4 linked regions of the Schizosaccharomyces pombe genome follow. Changing the gene in region 4 together with the main gene of any one other region gives a genetic interaction. Each region holds a gene or a part of one and is shown on either strand. Other genes may lie near its edges. The genes, in order: ppk9, fpb26, SPOM_SPBC1348.10C and coq11.

Region 1 (5,087 bases), on a different chromosome or scaffold from region 4:
GCACCCGACTCAGAATAGTGATTCAATTGAGAAGTTGTGCTTTCATAATCTTCAGCGTCGTACCAATGTTGCTCAAAATTGGAATCCATAGACATGCGTGACGAAGGAGAAGATTGCGCCGTACGTTCTTTAGTATATTCATGGTGTTGAATAAAGCATTCCAGTTCATGCAACAAAGACCCGAGTTGACGAGTAACCTTGCGTAAAGTAACCGCAGCTTGCGCGTTTTCAGCAGCAGTAATTTCCACTGAAGTACGGGTTTCCTTGTTTTCTTTGGCATCACCGGGAAGTTGTATACGGATCTCAGGGACAGAAAAATTATGACTTGAAGCCGATTTGATACGACTGGTGCGATACAATTGAGCAATATCCAGGCATTCACGTAGTCTTGAGTAAATAGAGACTAACTGATTGGATGACGATTCTTGTGTCCTTTCGTCTACTACGAGCTTTGAAGAAGTTTGACTATTTTTCGCCTTTTCCAAAGCATTGCACCAACGTAGCCAATCTTGGTGAGTATGTGCTCGTAGGTTCCACAGTTCTACGCCTGAATCAACGTTGATCTCATGCGTCTCTGCAGCAACGCTAATCACAGCAATGCTCAAGGGAATTTTACCGCGCATTACCGAAGAATTTTCGTTAGCATAGTATGAGATCGTGCCTTCCACCATGTTGAGAGTGAAGTAACGTCGAGCATAGCCTTGGCCCTTCTTTCGGCGCTTTTTAAGCAAGGTTCCAGAAATAATTTGTTTAGGAGAGCCATGGACTGATGCATTTGGTATTCTCGGACCGTTGTATGGTTGCGCGGTCAAGAGGAAGGTCACAGTTTTTGGTTTTGTTTTCGAAAAAGTGTTATCAAACACGAAGGCATAAAGTCCTCCATTCTCAATGTAGACAGAGCCCTCACTAGGCTTTTCCGACATACATCGCTCTCCTTGATAAAATAATTCTAACCCAGCAGCACTCAACTTCTTGATACCAGCTTCGTGAGTGTGTTGACGCTTTGTATGCAGGATGGAACGATCGGTGTTTTTGTTGGATCCATCTAGCAAGCTAGATGTGTCATTCTTTTTATGATATATATCAAACTTTATGCTTTTCCGTTTCACATGCAGTTGCCAACTCAGTAAGGAATTCGATTCCACCGTGAGCCATTGTATCAACAGACTCTTACTTCGTATCTCCACAGTTTCCATGTTGACTCATGGACTTCTACTGTGATAATTGCAAAACTTAGAAAGCCTATTTTTTTCAATTGATGACTGGAGAGGAATAAAATAATTGCCTAAACGTATGTGGTAAGAGATGGATTTTCGGTTTCGGGATTTTCGGGCGAATGACTCCAAGGTATTTTACCGATGCGGAACGTTCGGTTTTTTGGCGGCCACCTAATGTAATGTATACTTAAGTAGTAAACAAAGGGCTGGTAGCGGCAATAGGTATGCCAGTATGTAAACGGATACAAAGAAAATTTTGCACTTATCACTTTCCGTAGTGTGTACTTGGGATGCCTCGATCGGGCTATTTCAGATATGGCAAAATATACTTTACATTAAAAAATAGCTATACAAAAACATTCGCACGGTCTGTAATATGCGGTTTTATGTTTGTCTACTAGCATTGATGGCATCGTGCGAAATAATGCGGGTTTTTGGGATTAAACCGAAAATCAAATGTTTTCTGTAGTCAAAAAATCTAGCTGTTGTAATTTTTTATTTAATTGTCTTTGAGTATTTCTATTACTGCTTTTACTAATTTTATCATTATCACGGCTGTATTGTTGTAGCTTATTGTGCAAAAAATTTTGGCTAGAAGTTGGGACGGATCTAATGATGGAAGAGGGTAAATAGAGAGTTCCCATGTACTCATAAACTTTGAAAATTGGCATAATTTCCCATAACACAATACCAGCTCGATTTTCCATTTCATAACACAAAATTTACATACCTATGCATCTGATAACCCATAGACCGCGTACCTTAATTAAATAAAGTGCAGATTGGTTGCTCGTATCGAACGCTAGCGTTGTCTGCAATGTCGCCGTGGAGATGTTTACCAAAAGATAGCACGTTACGCCATATAATCTTATTACAAGGTTGCTTTGAATCACACTACTTTGCCTCGTGCACCTTTTTTATCGCTAACAAATTAGCATCAGATGCGCGGATCATGTTTAAGTCGGACGGTATGCAGCAACATGCACATGCTAACCACCTATATACACGAATAACGAATTTCATCCTATAAAGTCAGCTGGCTCGACTTGCTATGCAAACCCCTTCTTCTGCATCGGCAGAGTCTGAAAAGGATTCAGGAAACACCTATGTTGGGCCTTGGCTTTTGGGAAGGACTTTGGGACAAGGAAACTTGGCCAAAGTGAAATGTAAGTACATGAGGTGAAATTTAGTTGACTTTGTCTTGTAGGGGCTTGTTAATAAGATAGAGTAGACTACTTATAGACAGTAGAGATAGACTACTTAGGTGTCATGGTTATCTTGCGCATCGATCGTCTTTGATTTTGTTTTTGGCAATTGTACGATGGCTAACAGTGTAGTGGGCAAGCATTTTCAAACAAATGAAAAGGTCGCATTGAAAATGGTTTACAATGATGAATTGGAAGATAAAGATACGTGGAAGCGTTTACAAAGAGAAGTGACAATCTTAAGGCAATTGCACCATCCAAACATTATCACCCTATACCAGGTGTTTCGGGTTCCCAAGTACACAGTGCTCGCACTAGAGTATATGGATACTGATTTGCACAGTATGGTGGTTAAGCATAATCGACTGGATGAATGTACCACTCGCAAGATTTTTCGACAAATTGTCCATGCCATCGATTATTGTCATCTTCATCGTGTTGCTCACCGAGATTTGAAGTTGGAAAACATTTTACTTAATAAAGATCTGGTTGTCAAGCTCACGGATTTTGGCCTTTCCAATTTTATGCTTGATGGTTCCTTTCTGAGTACCTCTTGCGGTACTCCCCATTATGCTGCTCCTGAGGTTATTCAAGGCCGTTATTATGATGGTTGTGATGTAGATGTATGGGGTTGCGGAATCTTATTGTATTTGATGCTCGTCGGCGAGTTTCCCTTTGAGGATGTAACCATCTCCAATGTATTAAGTCGCGTTTGTAAAGGAATCTACACCATTCCTAGTTTTGTATCTTCTTCAGCCTCAGATCTCATTCGTCAAATGTTAATGGTGCTTCCTACTTCACGAATCAAAGTTGCAGAAATAATGCAACATCCTTGGTTTATCGCTGATCTTCCCACGCATTCCCGTTTACCTTCCCGTACTTCATCCTTTTCTTCCAAGCATCGATCTGTCACCTTTTCTCCTCCAGATCTTGCTATTCTTTTCGACCCTTCCATAACTTCGCCTTCCAGTAGTGTAGGTCAAATTCCTCAGCCCACAGATCACTCAGCCCTATCCCCGTCAAAACCAATGTCCATTTCAGGTACTGAATCTCCTAATCCAGATCCCGCATCTTTATGTTATTCGTCGTATGAGGACTTGTATTCGGCTACTTCGTGGCATTCTGACATGGCAGAATCATCCGGATTTTTAGATCCTACTGATATTCCACCAATTCCTTCTAACGTTGAAACTTTACGCTCTTCTCTTCCACAGAGACATGCTTCATTCATGAATAAGGTCTACAACCATCCATTATCCCGACCTCCCGCCCCCAACCGACTTCGTTCTTTACGCTGGCATTATGGGATTCAAACTGCCAAAAATCCAATTGAAGTATTGAGAAAGCTATGTGAGGCTTTACTTGAGTTAGGAGCTCGGTTTCGGCCCTGTGATGAGGAATCTTTTCTAAAGGAAAATAAGTATAAAGTGTTTTCATGCATTACATGTCATAATTCTCCTGTTTATCTGGTTATTGAATTATTCTCTATTGGACCATCTGCTAGCGTGATTGATATCCGCTTTTCTAGTAGTGATGATTCTATAAAGTACACTTCATCTTACAGTCCAATGCCATTTTTAGAAGTTGTCAAACAATTGATCCTTAAAATTGCATAAGGTCAGTCGCGTAACTCAACCTAATTCCCTTTTTTATCCTTTTTTTTTCTTTTACGATTTTTTTTGTTGTAAAGCTTTTGTTTTCAATATTGTTTGCATTTACTAATATTGTGAAACTAAGTTGAATTTTGATATTTTTGTTACGACTTTCTCATTTAGTTTCAATTAGAATTCACAGTTGTTACATTTCCCTTTTGTTTTTTGAATTTGTTAGTTATTTCACAAACAATGAAGATAAACAGTTGTAATATTACAACAGAATTATGCTAATGTAATTTACTACAATCTTTTATTTTTATTCATGAAGTTAAAGAGTGAAGTAGTGTATATGCATTAAATGTGAATGTTTGTCCATACTCACAGTAATTCCTAGTACGGAATATAAAAGCAACCAATTAATTTTTGGAAATTGTGGAAGTGCCAAGTATGCCGTATACGTATATTTATTGTTCATGTGAAATTTAAGGGATAAGATGCTTCCTTTGGAAAAATGAACGTAAATAGAGGATTTGCCATATAACAAGAACAAATAATGAGATAAAAGTAAGATATGCAAAATTCTTGACACGCTCATTAGTACTTTCATTAGTGTTTCTGAATCTAGCTTCGCGAGCTTGCAAATAGTAAATTTTTCCTTTGATTTCTTCAATGAAGTCTCTTGCACGACGGATATCAGCTTCTACAGGTTCCAAGTTGTTTGCTTTTTGCAATGAAGAATAATCATCGGCGTCAGCGCCTACAGTAAACTCAAGTTTGACGGATCGCTTTTTATGTTCAGACTCTATAGCACCTACATTTAAATGTCAGTCAGAAAGCTAAACTCATAAAGGATTTCTTTTTCAAAGAAAGAAAGGGATCTAAACAACGTAAACAAATCAAAATAGCCGTTGAAGTAAATACGACTTTTAGATATAGTACCATACCTGGTGTCAAAGTATTTAGGAAGCAAATATCGAGCATAGCAGAAGCATCAACGTCAAAGGCAACACTCTTCTCGCCTAAGACATTTTGAATACTGCTATGAGTGTTGCCAGATGAATCAGTTATCA
Region 2 (5,322 bases), on a different chromosome or scaffold from region 4:
ACTGAAAGTTCGTTTTGTAAAACGTGCTGCATAAACCTTCAGGTAACAATGAACTCGTTACTCAGGCGCTGCGTTGGAAATCAAGCCTTCAAAAATCGTTTCATGGACATTAAAGAGTTTGATTTGAATTTTTGTAAATATAGCATTCTCATTTTTTACTTTTGAGACCTAATTTGGAAAATACATTAGTCCGGGGTTCATTATAGCAGAAAAGCATCTACGCTTCTCAAATACAACAAAATAATGAATCAGGACGTTAGAGTATTTCCAGACAGCATTTATCTATCATGTTCCAAAAAAAAAGCTTCTCTTCGAATAGATAGAGTCGACGGATGCCTTAGTTTGAGCAATTCTCTTGATCTCAGCAAGACACCTGACTATAATAACGTTCAGTTATATGGATTTATTCGATTGAAAATATACAAATATGTAGTTCTTGTTACAAGTTGTGATTTGCATGCAGCAATTCTCGGAAACAATATTTATCGGGCAAGGAAATTTGCTATCTTCCCAATTACAAGGACTCTTCCATTCTCCACGGGTCTGCTAAATATTAAAGATGAGGAAGAACTACATTATATCAGTTTGCTCAATAAACATTTGTCAAAAGGCCAAATACTTTTTAGTCCAACGTTAGATCTAACCTGTTCCCTTCAAAGATTACGCGTACTAACCCAATCTTTTGAACTGACATCAAAATATAATTACCGCTTTTTTTGGAATAAATATGCATTTCATGAATTAATTGAATTGACGAATAAGGATTTAGGCTTTCAAGAATGGATTCAACCGATGATTCAGGGTAATATCGCCATTACTAACTCGTTTTTAAAGACTTATAACCTTAGACTGTGTGTTATTACACGACATTCTCCTGACTATGCGGGTACGCGGTATTTCACCAGAGGTGTAAACGCACAAGGAAGTGCTGCTAATTTTAATGAAATTGAACAAATAATAATGATCGAATCACCCATCACCCTTGAAGAACAAATGGTTCTTTCTTTTACTCAAATTCGAGGAAGTATCCCCATGTTCTGGGCCGAAGTTAATGATCTTCATTATCGACCTTTATTATCTTTACAACCTCTTGATTATAGCGAGACTGTGTTTGGGAAGCATTTTCAAGAACTTGCCAACGATTATGGGGACAATCTTGTGGTGGTCAATCTTCTAGACCAAAAAGGACGTGAAGCACCTCTACGGTCTGGGTTTGAAAAATTATGTAAACGAAATAAAAACCCTCCTTTGTCTTATGTTTACTACGATTATCATAAGCAAGGAAGTAGAAATCTCCCTTTGTTTCTTGCTGAAATTCAAAGTCTCTTGATAGAAGGAAAATATTATGCCGAGCATGGATCTAAAACTACTGCAATGCAAACCAACTTTGTAAGGACAAATTGTATGGATTGCTTAGATCGGACGAACGTCATTCAGACTAGCATTGCACAGTTTATTCTAAACATGCAATTACACGATATTGGTGTACTTTCTAGCTCTGAGAGTTTGGAAGAATATGATAGTTTTTTACAAGATTTTCGCTTAATATGGGCTAATACTGGAGATTATATCAGTGATCTCTACACTGGTACCCCGGCCTTAAAAGGCGATGTGACTCGCCATGGAACGAGAACCATTTTTGGAGCTTTCAAAGATTTATTAAACTGCTTTCGTAGATATATTCTTAACAATTTTTTTGACGGTATGCTGCAAGATAGCTATGATTTGGGTCTTGGAGTATTTCGTCCTTACGACTCACTTTCGATTCCGGACTTGCCTTTGCGTTTTCACTGGACTAGATTTGTGGCACCTGGAATTTTTTTGTTCACCACGATAATATTAACTATACAAGAATTATTTGGAAATCCAAGTCTGTTCTGTCGTCTGTTATATTCTATCCCTATGGTGAATGCTGGAATCTACCTATATTTTCATCGTAGACAATACGTTAATTGGCCTCGTCTAGTACTACCAACGTATGCTAAGGGAGGTTGGTTTTCGTTTCGTAATCATTTCCGAAATATTACTCTTAAAGTGTTTCGTTTTTTGCGTTCCGGCTCTTTCAAAAAAAGTGTCTAACTGTGCATTTCAATAACTAAAGAACAGTATTGCTATAACTCTTAATTAGCAGAAAACGCTCTTTGAACACTCGAAGTTCACTCTTTATTTCATTAGACTTCATAGATGTCAATCTTGCTACTGAACAAAGCGATGCTACCCAACTTTATCAAGTGACTAATTCAGATCATTTTACGTGATTGGTAATTGTAACTTTATTTTCTTTAATTGCTCCAAGCTTCCTACCAATATCAATTAGTAATTTAAGATTTTCATAATTGTTAGAGCCCTTAACAAACTATTGTAGTATGGATAACACACGAAAAAAATATAGCAGACAAAATTAATATTTCTAACTTTTATTAAGTCAGTGTTAAATATTGGGCAACTTTGACCATTGAATCACTGAGGCTTTTGACTCAAGTTTTACTCGGTTTTAAACAGTAAATGAAATATATGAAAAAGCCAAGCTTTCTTTCAATTTCATAAGTGTTGTTCATGTTCAATATTTAGGATACATACTTCTTCCAATTTAGGGGCATTCTGGTTTAATATTTTCAATGAACATGTTATAAAAATGAATTTTTTAAAAGATCATACAGTTCAGCAACGTTTTCTAATACTTCCAATCCAGAATCTTAATTCACAATTCACATTACTGAAAAAATGATGAAGTTATGCCTTACCCGACAGTTTTTGTATGAAAACTCCACAATATTACGAAAATGATTATATACACTTTTACAATCAGCTTAGCATAATTATGCTTATAGAAATGGAAATGCTCACACTTAATTTTGAATATTATTTTAATAGTGGATTTAACTACTCCTAGTACCAAGTCAAAGACTTGAGATCACTTAATGTAGCTTACGGAAGCGTAAACATCTCTCGCAATAATACTGCGTAACGAAGACCTGCAATTTAGTATATTAAGCTTGAACTTACACGTATACCCCTCTTGTTTATGTTAGCAGGAGTGCAATGTTCTGAACTTGTATATTTTAAGCCGTTCTGTTAAATATTATTAATTTAATCGTTTTTCTTTTTAAAAATTATAGCTTTTTAACGCATTGACGAGTTCACTACATACTCTAAGGATACTTAACATAAGTACGAGTACTGCAAACCGTCCATCAAGCTCTTCAAGGCGAATCATACATTTCGAGCGAAATACGACTCTTTAACATATATTCATTATTTAACATATTCACTTAATAATTCAACCCGATTCTGGCAGGATTAGCAACCTGGTCATATTCTTATGATTTATTCTTTAATATTTGTTTGCAACATAACCACACCCAAAATTTAAATTAAGAACTAACTTTTTTACATTAAGATCGAACATGAAAGACATTGAAGGACTTTTGGGCCTATGTGTTTGCTTTGTGGGGTTACCCGCATCTGGCAAGACATCTTCTGCAATGAAATTATCCAGATATTTGACATGGATGTCCGTTTCTACTCACCTTTATGATACGAAAGAAATTGATAATTCGTTGTCCGAAAATTCTAACAGTGATTCAGAGAATTTAGCTAAAACTCTTAGCCCCATATTCGATAATCTGGAGAGCGTTTTTAAAAAGGGTACTGATGTTGCGATTCTTGATTTTAACCAATGTACACTAAAGTTTCGGAAAAGTATAGTGGAGTTGGCAAAAGCGCGGAATATGCTCTTAATGTTTGTCGAGGTTGTCTGCACAAATCAAAAAATTATCGATGAAAACATTACTGATATGTGTCAGCATTCACCATATTTCAAAAGCTTTCCGTTCGAAGAATCGAAGAATAAAATCCTTGATAGTATTCATGAGTATGAGAAACACTACACACCTTTGTCCGAGGCTGAAGAATGTACTTTCGTTAGAATTGTGGACTTTGGAGCCGAACTGATAGTTCATAAACTTGAAAATTACCTTGAATCTAGGATTGTTTATTATCTCTCTAATTTGCGTACGCGTCGACGAAGTATTTGGCTAAGCCGACATGGTGAAAGTCAATTTAATGTTGAAGGAAAAATAGGTGGTGACTCAAGCTTAAGTCCTCAAGGACTAAAATATGCTGCTCTTCTTCCTGAATATGTTGCTAAGTTTTCGATAGGTGAAAAAGGACTTACGGTTTGGACATCTTCAATGGCTAGGACTATCCAAACTGCTCGACACCTTAATTGCCAAAAGCTCGAATGGAGAGCACTGGATGAATTAGATGCAGGAACGTGTGATGGTTTTACTTATGATTATATTGAACAGAATTTTCCTCATGAAGCCGAATTGCGAAATAATGATAAATTTCATTACAGATATCGTGGCGGAGAATCTTATATGGACGTAGTAAGGCGGTTAGAGCCGATTATTATGGAGTTAGAACGACAGGGAGATGTTTTTATTATATGTCATCAAGCTATTCTTCGTTGTATTTATGGATACTATCATAATCTTTCACTTGAGGAATTACCATTTATTAATGTTCCTTTACATACAATAATTAAACTCACTCCAATGACATACGAAACGATAGAGGAGCGTGTTACAGTCCCCATTTCTGCTGTTTCTACTCAACGCGGCAAACATTGAAAGAAAATTCTTCATAATGTGCTGATTTATTCCTTTAACGTTGATCAGAATTTTTCAAAGGTTGTGAATTATTTTTTAATAATAAAATGCAGCATTGATGACTTCAATACAAAATTATTTTTTTCAAAGTTTATTGTTAATTATTCTTCCAGTTACCTAAAGTTCGTATCACTATGCAGATAGCCGAAAGTATTTACTGTACGTGAACAAATCTTTTAAACGAAAATAGAAAGAAAAAAGTAGTTTACTCGGAACCATCAATTGGTTGTGTATGTCATTCATAAAGTTGTTATCTTTAATGCACTATGAAGCATTTAAGACATGAATGGCAAAATTATCTTTTTTTTTTCTAGAATCGAGCTTCAACCACGTTTTACAAAACTGTGGCTGTTGCTCTCGAGATCAATCAAAGTTATACGGTATATACTTTCCAAATAATTAAGCAAGGAAGGATAGCAAATCCATAATTCTAAAGATATCGAAAAACTCACAAAATAGCGAACAAAGTATTAGTAGTTAGAGTACTTTTTGATTAGCCTTAGAGAAAGTCAACAAGATAAAAGTATTTGATATTAAACGTCGCTTTTATATCATATTTTTTAGCAGACTTCTTCAATTTAAAGTCATTAAATAAATCCTATCATCTTCAGCTAATGACAGGACAGAATAAAACCCTTGACATACTCGA
Region 3 (5,603 bases), on a different chromosome or scaffold from region 4:
TTTAAAAAGCTTATATTTTGCAAACATTATTTTTTGCTACTATGCGTGAACCCAAGAATGCCAAAGTGCTAAGCAGACTTGAAAATGTTCTGGTGACTCAATTAGATGTAAATAACTTTTCTTCGATTAAAAAATCTGTGGAAAAAGCAATTTCGCATTTTGGTAGAATCGACGTGTTACTAAATAACGCTGGCTATTCCGTCTATTCTCCACTTGAAAGTACTACCGAAGAACAAATTCATAACATTTTCAATACAAATGTGTTTGGCGCTTTGGAGGTTATCAAAGCAATAACTCCTATCTTCCGCTCACAACATAATGGAATGATTATAAACGTATCATCGATCGGAGGAAAGATGACATTCCCACTTGGATGTTTGTATTATGGTACCAAGTATGCAATCGAAGGTATTTCTGAAGCTCTGACTTGGGAAATGCAAAGCATTGGTGTAAAAGTCAAGATTATAGAACCTGGTTTTACAGCAACTGAATTTAGGGTTGAAGAGGGTGCAGGTAAACATTATGCTGAGTACGACAATCTGAAACAAAAGTTGTACGAAGACTTGCTACCTAAATTGAAAACAGCTACACCACCGCAAAAAATCGCAGAAGTGATATTGCAAGCGGCAACGGATGAAAGTGATGAGCTACGATACCCTACTGGAGATTATGTTGTTGAATGGATGGCATTGAGAAGCAAAGTTGATGATGCTACATTTTTAGCAACACACCGAAAACAAATGGGTCTTTAAACGATTTCGTTCTACCAATTGAATATTCCTCTTTTACTGTTTTTTGTACCAAACTGTTGATAAATCTTTCAGCATTTATTTAGTTTCCTTCCTTTAGGAAGTTTCAAAATACAGTAAAATATTTAGTAGTGACTCCTCATATATTGAATTAACAAGTCTCTGTCTTACTTTTAAATGTTTGTAGTCAATTTTATTATTATCTATTTTTTAAAAAACCGGGAGCTTTTAAAACAATCTATCATTTAATGTTCATCATTAGCACAACGATCTTGGACTATTTTTCATTCAACTTGTGATTCCCAATTGTACGTATATATCAATTTAAAGCAATGTTGTATTTAATCGTTTTCATGCTTACATTCTTTCGTTTCGTGTCTTTACGTGAATGCACATCGATCTCAGATTGAGCCAACTAAGCCTGTTCATCCATTCGACCGGTTGCATTTATCTAAAAAAGTTTAGAGATAACAAATTATTCATTTACCCGTTTACATAGCTCCATCAAACGTAAAGGGTTTAACTGAGCAGTCTCACGAATGAGGAAAATCCTTAGTTCTCTTTCATAACGAATTCGTAACCAAGTACAATAAAGGTAAATCTATCTATTCTAAATTTCTCACATGCCTGAGAATCCATTGAAACAACATCAATGGAATCTTTTTACGGATTTTCTTTCGCTTCGAAAATCGAGTCCCACCAATGTTTATGAGTGGGAGTGGCTGATGCTACCTAGAACAAAAGTTAGCGATGAAAAAAAAAATAGTTTAATCAACGTGAATTTTTGAGAACATACAGATGAAGATGTTGTACTAGAGGCTGTACCCGAGGTTGTGCCTGACGGTGCACGAGATGTTGTCGCAGCAGACATTACGGTAGGATCATATACAGAAGCCGTACTAGTTGCAAGAGTTCCGTCCCAACAGTATTCTTGGAAACAAGAAGAGCACTGGGTAGGAGTACTCAATTTCTTGCGTTCCAAAGAGCGTTGAATTATAGCGCATGCTAAGCAAACTGCAAAAGATTCATTATTGTTTTGCGTAGTCGACATAAATGCATTCTCAAGAATTCCATTAGCCATCTTGTCGTCCATGCTCATAGTAAATGTCGATATATTGGAATAATAAGTCCAAGGGTAATTTGGAAAGTATACAAGGAGAGGTGGGGTATTATTGTCTACATCATGATTTCCTGCTGTAGTATTTTTACCGTCACATCCAAAAAACGTAGGACGAGTGTTTAGTCCCAAAGAGATAATAGTGTTTTCGTCCGGAATATATGGAAATCCACGCACATCAACACTCTTGTTCGCATTAAAGGTTACAACTCTCTCATATGTAGCAACAATGGAAGATCCAAGGGGCCAACCATAAGGATCATTATAAGTCGAATCAATCGCAAATACAACGTCCACAAATCGTTGTGGGTGTAACAAAGGCCAAAGGGGAATGTTTTCCCTATCCTCACCACCATCAACTAGATCAATAGTATCATACGGTTCGAACGCATTCACTACAGAGGTATTGGAAGTAGTATAATTTTGGTAAGGATTGGGATAAGGAGCAATATCATCTTGATGCTTAGAAAGATCTTCAAGAATCGCATGAAGAATATCGTAATAGGTATCATTCTTTTTGACATTTTCATTCCAGTCAAGAAGAAAAGAGTTGAATAAAGTAGCTGAAGTGCCCATAACAAAACCTGCATTATCATAGTTATGAATGCAAGACTTATCGGGTGGAACCCCATCCAACAAGTGAGTTCCCACATATTCCATTGGAATGAATGCTTTAATTCCATTGTCCCATGTACCAAATTCATACGCCGTGAACTCAAAGATACTGGTATTGGCAGGGATGGCCGTTTCTTCTTCTAATCGGCTATCCGCAACGATGATGGGATAAGGATAATCAGCATTTTGAAACCAGCTTTGATTTCTCATACTGGAATATGTAATGCCTGGTCCTCCCCTTTCAGCATCAACAAGTTTACGGGACAAAGCACGTCCCCATAAATCCGTCAAAGAACAGTCAAAGCCCGCATGTTTCTTTTGATCAATTTCTTTGCGCAAGTCATTATAATAATTCAAATTTTCAATGACATTATCCCCATGAGGAGCAAAAACGCTATGTTCCAAATTCCAGACATTATCACGTAAGTATGTTATATTCGTAAAATTATTAATAGCCACTGATCCAACAAGCCATGAACCACCAGAAAGACCGCTGATATACATCGCGGATTGCAGCAGACCAGAAAGTGGAGAGTCACTCTCGAATCTTGAGTCAAAAGCATTGAATGCACCACCTCCATTAACCATCGCCCGTAACCCACCACCTGAGAATGCAATTCCTAAACGTGGACCATCCGAGCTGTTAACCACCTTATCCAAGTCAACATTCAAACCTGTCTTAGAAATAAATGATCGGAGTTCACTGTTAACCTTAGAAATACGTTTGTTGATATAGCTCTGTTCGCCCTCATTTAAACCTTCAGAAGCCGGCCTCAACAGATTGTCGTTTGAACAGGTCACATTGAAAGGGGCATACGAAGCGTCGGTACTTCGTTTTACGAGCGCAGGTTTCCTTTTAGACAAAGTGTAAAGTACGGATGTATCAATATCTTGTCCTTTATACGAACTAGATTCTTCAAAATCATATATTTCAGAAATCTCCACACGACCGGGAGGATAAGCTAACGTCAACGAAATTTGAACGAAAGCAAAGAGTCCAATATAGTTGACATACATTGCAGAAAATAAAAAAAGTTCAAACAAAAGCTGTAAAAATTGAAGTTCGCATGGAAAAGTGTACTACACGGAAGAATATTAAATCATATATTACTCTGGCGCACTACACATCTCTGATCCGGAAGAAAGAATTCCGAACTTTAAAAGCCCCAAAATTTGTCGCGTTATCTCAAGATCTGTCTACAAAAGTGATCTTAAATACGAAACAATGCTTGCTGCAAAATTCGCAAACGTTAGGCGGATACAATTTAGTACGGCAAGCTTTTACTTTATGATCAATGTTACCTTAAATTTCTATTGAGTAACAAATGTTACAAGATATGTATGCGAACAATAATACCAGAAGCTGATCGCTCATCATCGAATGGAGTTAATTACTTCGCTTATACAAAATAGTTTGTTAGTATTACGATGCATAATCTGAAATGGGAGCGTGTAAGGGAATGATCTGATGATCACGTATTGATTATAAATATAAGTAGGAGGATGATAGTAGGGACATTCGATGTATGGTGAGAGGCAACGTAATCTAGTGTACTAGCGCGGATACACGAAAAAGAAAACGCCAATAAAATGCATAGCGAATTCATGATTCCACGTTTAACACATTGCATGCATTTCAACTAGCTTAAGTTATTTTGATCTTCATATACTAGGGAGAAATAAGTTTTGTATTTTCGAGTAGTCTTTGTTCATAAATCCTCGCTATTATCACAATTATTCGACTTTCATACATGTAAATATCTTTTCGCTTGACCTCGAGAAAACAAATTTGTTTGTTATTTTTTGCAACATTTGACATTATTTTATGATATGTCAATAGTAGTTTTAATTGCTCGAACGTACATTTGTACTTTTTGTCACACCTGCTTAAGTTGTACATCGCGGTAATTTCTTATTATTAAAGGCCATTAACCTGATTGTCTCTTTAGATCTCTCTTGAATTGTTTGTTTTACTGTATCTTTCCGAAACAGTACATAAGGTTGTAACTTTTCCACACTAATTTCCTAATCATCGTTATGCACAAAACATTTAGCTGAACAAAGTTTGATAGTTTTTGTATGGCAGCTTGTGATGCCTTTTTATTTGTTCTACTTTTTCTTCAAGTTGGAGATAAAAGAGCACTTTTTAGTGATCAATTATGCTTTAGGCTTATAGGTCGTATTTCATTTCCACGATCAATAATTACTTGCTCATTTACCCACATCAAATCTACATCGTGTGCATTGTATTTATATTCTCTACTCATGACTACCAACTATAAGCATTGAACAAGAATATGCTGTTTCTAATATTTGTCATTGTAGCCAACGTCGTTTTGGACTTGTTTCAAAATGATAGTGCTAATAATTGCATTTATATTTAATCATTTTTGGATTCATTTTTTTCTCATTTGCTTGATTAAAAAATTAACATTATTGTTGAATATTCTTTTACTGCTAATCGCCGTTTAGTATCGCTTTTATACTGCCGTTCTGCTTCTCGACATTATGCGACATAAACTTAACTTTTACAGAAATATTAATCTCACGAATTATCTACTCATACTATATTCCTATATTGGTATAAATCTTTTTTTTATCTAATTTTTGAATTTGTTAATCAGCAATTTGATCAACTTCTATTCATGAATATGTTGCCTACATGACGCTTTTCAATTGCACAGCAAAATTTAGATAACGTTTTAAATAAATTCACGTATTCTATAGCACGTTACCTAACGTTACCAAGCTGAGCAATAAACTTGAGATGTATTGTATTATCTCTTGCTTCTTTTTGTCTATGTTTATTTTTATCTGTCAAGCTTTCTTACATGTATGATTTAACATAATTTGGTTATTTATGAGATGCCGCAAAGAGTAAAGCGAAAAAACTGCATGGAAAGTATTGTCGTTATTCAACACATAATATACTAAGCCGTACACAAATTTATTTTTGTTAAAGATATATGGTACAATATGTACGGCTAGGCAAGTGCAAAATTAACTTCAGTGTTCTTTTATAACCTTTTTATTTCCAAGTAACGTTTTGACATGGGCGGATTTACTATAATCGTTTTGATGCGTCAGCTTTAAAAATACTCATCCGTGATGTTTTAGCATAA
Region 4 (4,492 bases):
AGTAGGTAGTCTTACAGCATGTATTTCAAGTGACATGATACTTTTTATAAAACATACAGCAAAAACAAAAAAATCAAGAATTTTAATAAACTAATCAAATTGAAAACACCTTTTTGTCTTAAAATTTTGAAGCTAACTTTGCTATCAATATAAGAAGTAACCCAATTATATTTTTAGTTTGGAAAGGAACACAATCTTGTGTCAAAAGAAAATTAAAGTAATTTGTGAAGCGCACGATTTTTAAATGATCTTTTGTTTTATTAATCAACGAAATTTATTTTGTAAAATAGATCTATTAAAGGAAAAGGTATTGAACATTATTCCAGCTATATCCGGCTCACGAATCCTTCCTCATCATTACAAGCAACCGTTCTTCTAACTAAAAATACCCGTTGTAAACAAATATACAAATCTTATGGACGTGGGGAATATAGATGTATATATTTGACTACAGTTATATTCTTGAATTACTTCATTTGATAGTTGTTGAGTTTAAATCATTGAAGGATAATTCTTCTTTTGAAGGTTTGCTTAAATAATTTGGAAGAAATAAGTATTTAAGAATTCCGTTTTATAAGAATTTTTTCACAACTTTAGATTGTTATCGATGTGCCTTACTATCTTAGTTTTTGAATGAAAAATTAATGACGGCTCGAATATAAAGGGGACGGTCTTCGCTCTTTATTCAGCAAAGAACGTATGGAATAGAAAGAATTTGTACTAAATGTGTCACCATAAGTGCGAAGCTTTAGGGTTTTTACATTATAAGACAAGTTAGATTTTTGTTTTAAAGGTGGCATTTAGAATATAGACAGATGAAGTTAAAGGGCGCAGCTCGTTTTCCTTGGCACTTTTTTACACTCATCTCAGTACTTGTATTATCTTCTCAAAGCAGCTTGGTAGTACAATTTTCTTGGATATTATCCCTATCTGATAAAATAAAGTTTCGCTAATAATTAAGCGAAGACTTACAACTTTGACGAAGCAGCACACAGAACTAAACCAGTAGATCATAGTGACTATAAAAGCAAATCTACTTAAAGAGGCTGAGAAATTGCCATCGTGAGTTTATTTATTTTCAGCTATATTCTTCAATGTAAATTTAAGTATTTATTGAGAAAAATTTAAGAAAGTTAAGTTGTTCGTTATAACGTACAGCAGCTACGAAAGGATATTTATACTACTGTCTCGCAAATAAACATTCTAGCAACTCATTAACATCATAACTTGTGTTGGAATAGTAGACAACTATGATGAATAAAATAAAATAAAAAGGGCAAGTTAGAAATCAGAAATTTATGCTTAATGTTTCATTTGGATTTTCGTTATTTCCAATGTATTCTGAATATACTCATACTTAAACACATATTGTTATATGTTATATTTGTTACATCAGGGGGATCGATATATCATATACTCCACAGTATAGCTAATTTATTTGTAACCCTTTTTGAAGAAATATTTATTTGGTATTGAGAATTAAATTAAATTTAAAGATTTACTATATCATAGCCTATTTACTCAATCTGTTCAAATGTTGCTTTCGCAAACATATTTTTATCAGTCACAATATAATGAAATACACATTTGATTTAAAACAATTTCAAAAAAAAAAAAAGGATGTTGATTAGAATGAAAGAAAAAAAATAAGATTTATATATTTTCAAAACAAAAAAGGTGTAGATATCAATAATAAGAAGACTTAAAATTCTAATAGATCTCGTAACGATCAGTTATTTTAAATTTATAAAATTAAACCACAGTGTATTGTTTTAGAATATATGAATTTAATACTTTCGCTCAACGATTTCTTGATCGATCAACTAAATATGTAATAATATTAATTAAAAAAAAATAAAAAAAATTTGAGATTTTTTCTTTCCTCTTGCTATGAATCACGAAATTTTCTGTATGAACAGAATAGCAATCAACTGGCTTCTCAGACACTTCATAAAACTCGAAATTGTGTCTTCAGGGTTATCGGAATAAATATTATGATTCATAAGCTCTATTGTTAGCTTAAAATTGAATTTGTTATTAATCTAACATATTTGTAAATGGGTTTATGAAGTATTTGAATTTGAGATCTTATTATTACGAATTTAAAATCCAAAGATAATTAAGAAATTAATCAATGGCTTATAAAGTATAGAAAATTAAAGACTAAATTATCAAAGCATTTTTATTTTTAATTTTTTTTAGCGCTCTCATTTAAGACAAACTTTTACTAATACTCCAATTATGAATGATGGTTATTTTGCATACTTATTAAATGATGTACATATTTTTATAAATTAATAAGTCTAATAGAAGATAATTAATTACCTCTTTCCATCTCTTGGTCTTCCTTATTGAGCTAGCACATTACCTCATTCTCTTCAACTACGATTTACTAACTACTCAGGTTGAAAGGGTTTTTTGAACATTGTTCGTAAAAGGAAATTTTAAAAATATTTTGAGACAGCATTTTTGTGTTTCTCAATTATTAAGATTAATAATAAGCATCACGAAACTTTGAGGTGTTAGCTTACATTAACAATTCTGGGGTTCTAATCCTTATAATAATTTGGGCTGGCCTATATCAAATTGTCTAATTTGAAGATTTAAATTCTTTAAATAATTTTATTTTTACTTTCTCCCTCGTTTTAAGTATGAAAATTGTTGTTTTAGGTGGTTCAGGCTTTTTAGGGCATAATATTTGCAAATTAGCCATTGCTAAGGGTTACGAGGTGGTTTCAGTATCCCGAAGAGGAGCTGGAGGATTGCATAACAAAGAACCATGGATGGATGATGTTGAATGGGAGACGTTGGATGCTCAAAAAGATCCAAATTCATTACTTCCTGTTCTTCGTGATGCCTCGGCAGTGGTGAACAGTGTTGGTATCCTTATGGAAAATAACTATAAAAAGATTTTACAGAATCCCAGAGGACCAGTTTCGCATTTAATCAATAGTCTTAGCTCTAACATGTTTAAAACTGGCCAAAACCCTTTAGCACCTAAACCTGAAGAAGCAAAGCAATCTAAAAATAAAGTTACATTTGAAGCAATCAATCGAGATTTAGCTATTGAAACAGCTAAGATTGCCGCCAAAGCTAATGTCCCTGTGTATTGCTATGTGTCTGCTCATGCAGCGGCTCCCGGGTTGGATCCCCGCTACATAAAAACGAAACGTGAAGCTGAAAGGGAAATATCTAAAATTTCAAACCTTCGTTCTATATTTCTCCGTCCTGGTTTTATGTATAACTTTAATGATCGTCCTTTCACAGGCGCCCTTGCGTCTCTTTTTACTGTCTCATCCAGCATCAATCGAGCAACCTCTGGTGCTTTAAATTTCCTCGGAACCGCTTCGGCTGAACCCCTTCCTTCTGAGGAAGTTGCTTTGGCTGCTTTGGAGGCTATTTCTGATCCCAGTGTCAAGGGTCCTGTGGAAATTTCCGAATTAAAATCTATGGCTCATAAGTTTAAGCAAAAATCTCTATGATTCTCTTGTTAAAAGTAAATTACACATCATAAGTTTATGAAAATGAATGATTGGGTTATGTGTAATGAATTTTGACCAGTCTTAATTATATCTACCTGAATACGTCTTTATACTTTCAAGTTAAAATATGATTGCTAAACAAAGAGAAAAAGTATCGTCTAATTTAAATTCTCTGCTCAATATTTACATCATTTGAACTACTGTTATCTAAGTCGTAGAATCTTTTCCAACTATAATTGCCAAATTTGCTTCCTGACTGTATTTATTAACTAGAAAATTAAAACAAGTTATTTCAAAAAATTAGAAAGAAAGCTCTTTTCCCATGTTAACTCGAGCTATATTTGCTTCGATATATCAGCTGTTGTAGTAACCATACATTTTACCTTATTATACACCTCGCACTACCTATATCAAACGCACGCATTCGAAAGGTCCTCGGTGAATTAAAGAATTAAGAAGATAGAGAAGTTCATAATCCTTTTAATTTACTTATTCAAATTGGACTTACAGTCGTAAATTATTTATGGAGCTGGGTGCTTGGAGATCTATTCTCTATATTGCGTTCCTGTTCGCGATTACGCGCCATGCCTTTTGTAAAGCAGTTAACTTGGTGCATTCACCAGAAGGAGAAGAGTTCGAAAATATTTTGAGCTCTGTTTCTGCTACAGTTGAGAAGAAAGAAGTCAACAATAAATTAATAATGCCGACAGCTAATCGCGACAACCAAGGAGTAAGAGAAGAACTTTTAGTTTCTAGTTTTAAAGAAAGAAAGCTGTTGAACACCAATTCAGCCAATTTGCGGCTAAATAGTATTGGCTCATACGAAATGATCGACTTCAAACAGATTAATTCCGAATTTTTCTTGTCTCATCGTCAACATGGGTTTGTATTATTTATCGATTCTAAAAAAAAACCACGACAATCATTTTACACCGACTCGGCTACTTCTATTGTGCAATTGTCCAAAAAATATAGGAACAAAATAAAATTCAAGAGCGTGGATTGTGCCT

What was found.
Region 1: mutations in coq11 (region 4) and ppk9 together harm fitness more than expected from each alone (negative genetic interaction), as found in Schizosaccharomyces pombe (one large-scale study listed by BioGRID).
Region 2: mutations in coq11 (region 4) and fpb26 together harm fitness more than expected from each alone (negative genetic interaction), as found in Schizosaccharomyces pombe (one large-scale study listed by BioGRID).
Region 3: mutations in coq11 (region 4) and SPOM_SPBC1348.10C together harm fitness more than expected from each alone (negative genetic interaction), as found in Schizosaccharomyces pombe (one large-scale study listed by BioGRID).

What each region holds. Positions count from the first base shown.
Region 1 is NC_003424.3:1,604,271-1,609,357, reverse strand, and holds ppk9 (serine/threonine protein kinase Ppk9), read left to right. Parts: upstream 1-2,208; 5' UTR 2,209-2,268; coding exon 2,269-2,383; intron 2,384-2,554; coding exon 2,555-4,038; 3' UTR 4,039-4,285; downstream 4,286-5,087. Other genes in the region: sterol transfer protein Osh3, read right to left, coding at 1-1,196; COPII-coated vesicle-associated protein Erv25, read right to left, coding at 4,500-4,828, 4,962-5,087.
Region 2 is NC_003424.3:2,058,563-2,063,884, reverse strand, and holds fpb26 (fructose-2,6-bisphosphate 2-phosphatase), read left to right. Parts: upstream 1-2,998; 5' UTR 2,999-3,407; coding exon 3,408-4,634; 3' UTR 4,635-4,822; downstream 4,823-5,322. Other genes in the region: sac12 (inositol polyphosphate phosphatase), read left to right, coding at 244-2,079.
Region 3 is NC_003423.3:24,875-30,477, forward strand, and holds SPOM_SPBC1348.10C (phospholipase), read right to left. Parts: upstream 3,499-5,603; coding exon 1,546-3,498; intron 1,482-1,545; coding exon 1,413-1,481; 3' UTR 1,281-1,412; downstream 1-1,280. Other genes in the region: SPOM_SPBC1348.09 (dehydrogenase), read left to right, coding at 42-752. UniProt on the Schizosaccharomyces pombe protein: Catalyzes the release of fatty acids from lysophospholipids.
Region 4 is NC_003421.2:2,273,358-2,277,849, reverse strand, and holds coq11 (ubiquinone biosynthesis protein Coq11), read left to right. Parts: upstream 1-2,380; 5' UTR 2,381-2,651; coding exon 2,652-3,482; 3' UTR 3,483-3,683; downstream 3,684-4,492. Other genes in the region: pdi5 (protein disulfide isomerase), read left to right, coding at 4,006-4,492. UniProt on the Schizosaccharomyces pombe protein: Acts in the coenzyme Q biosynthetic pathway.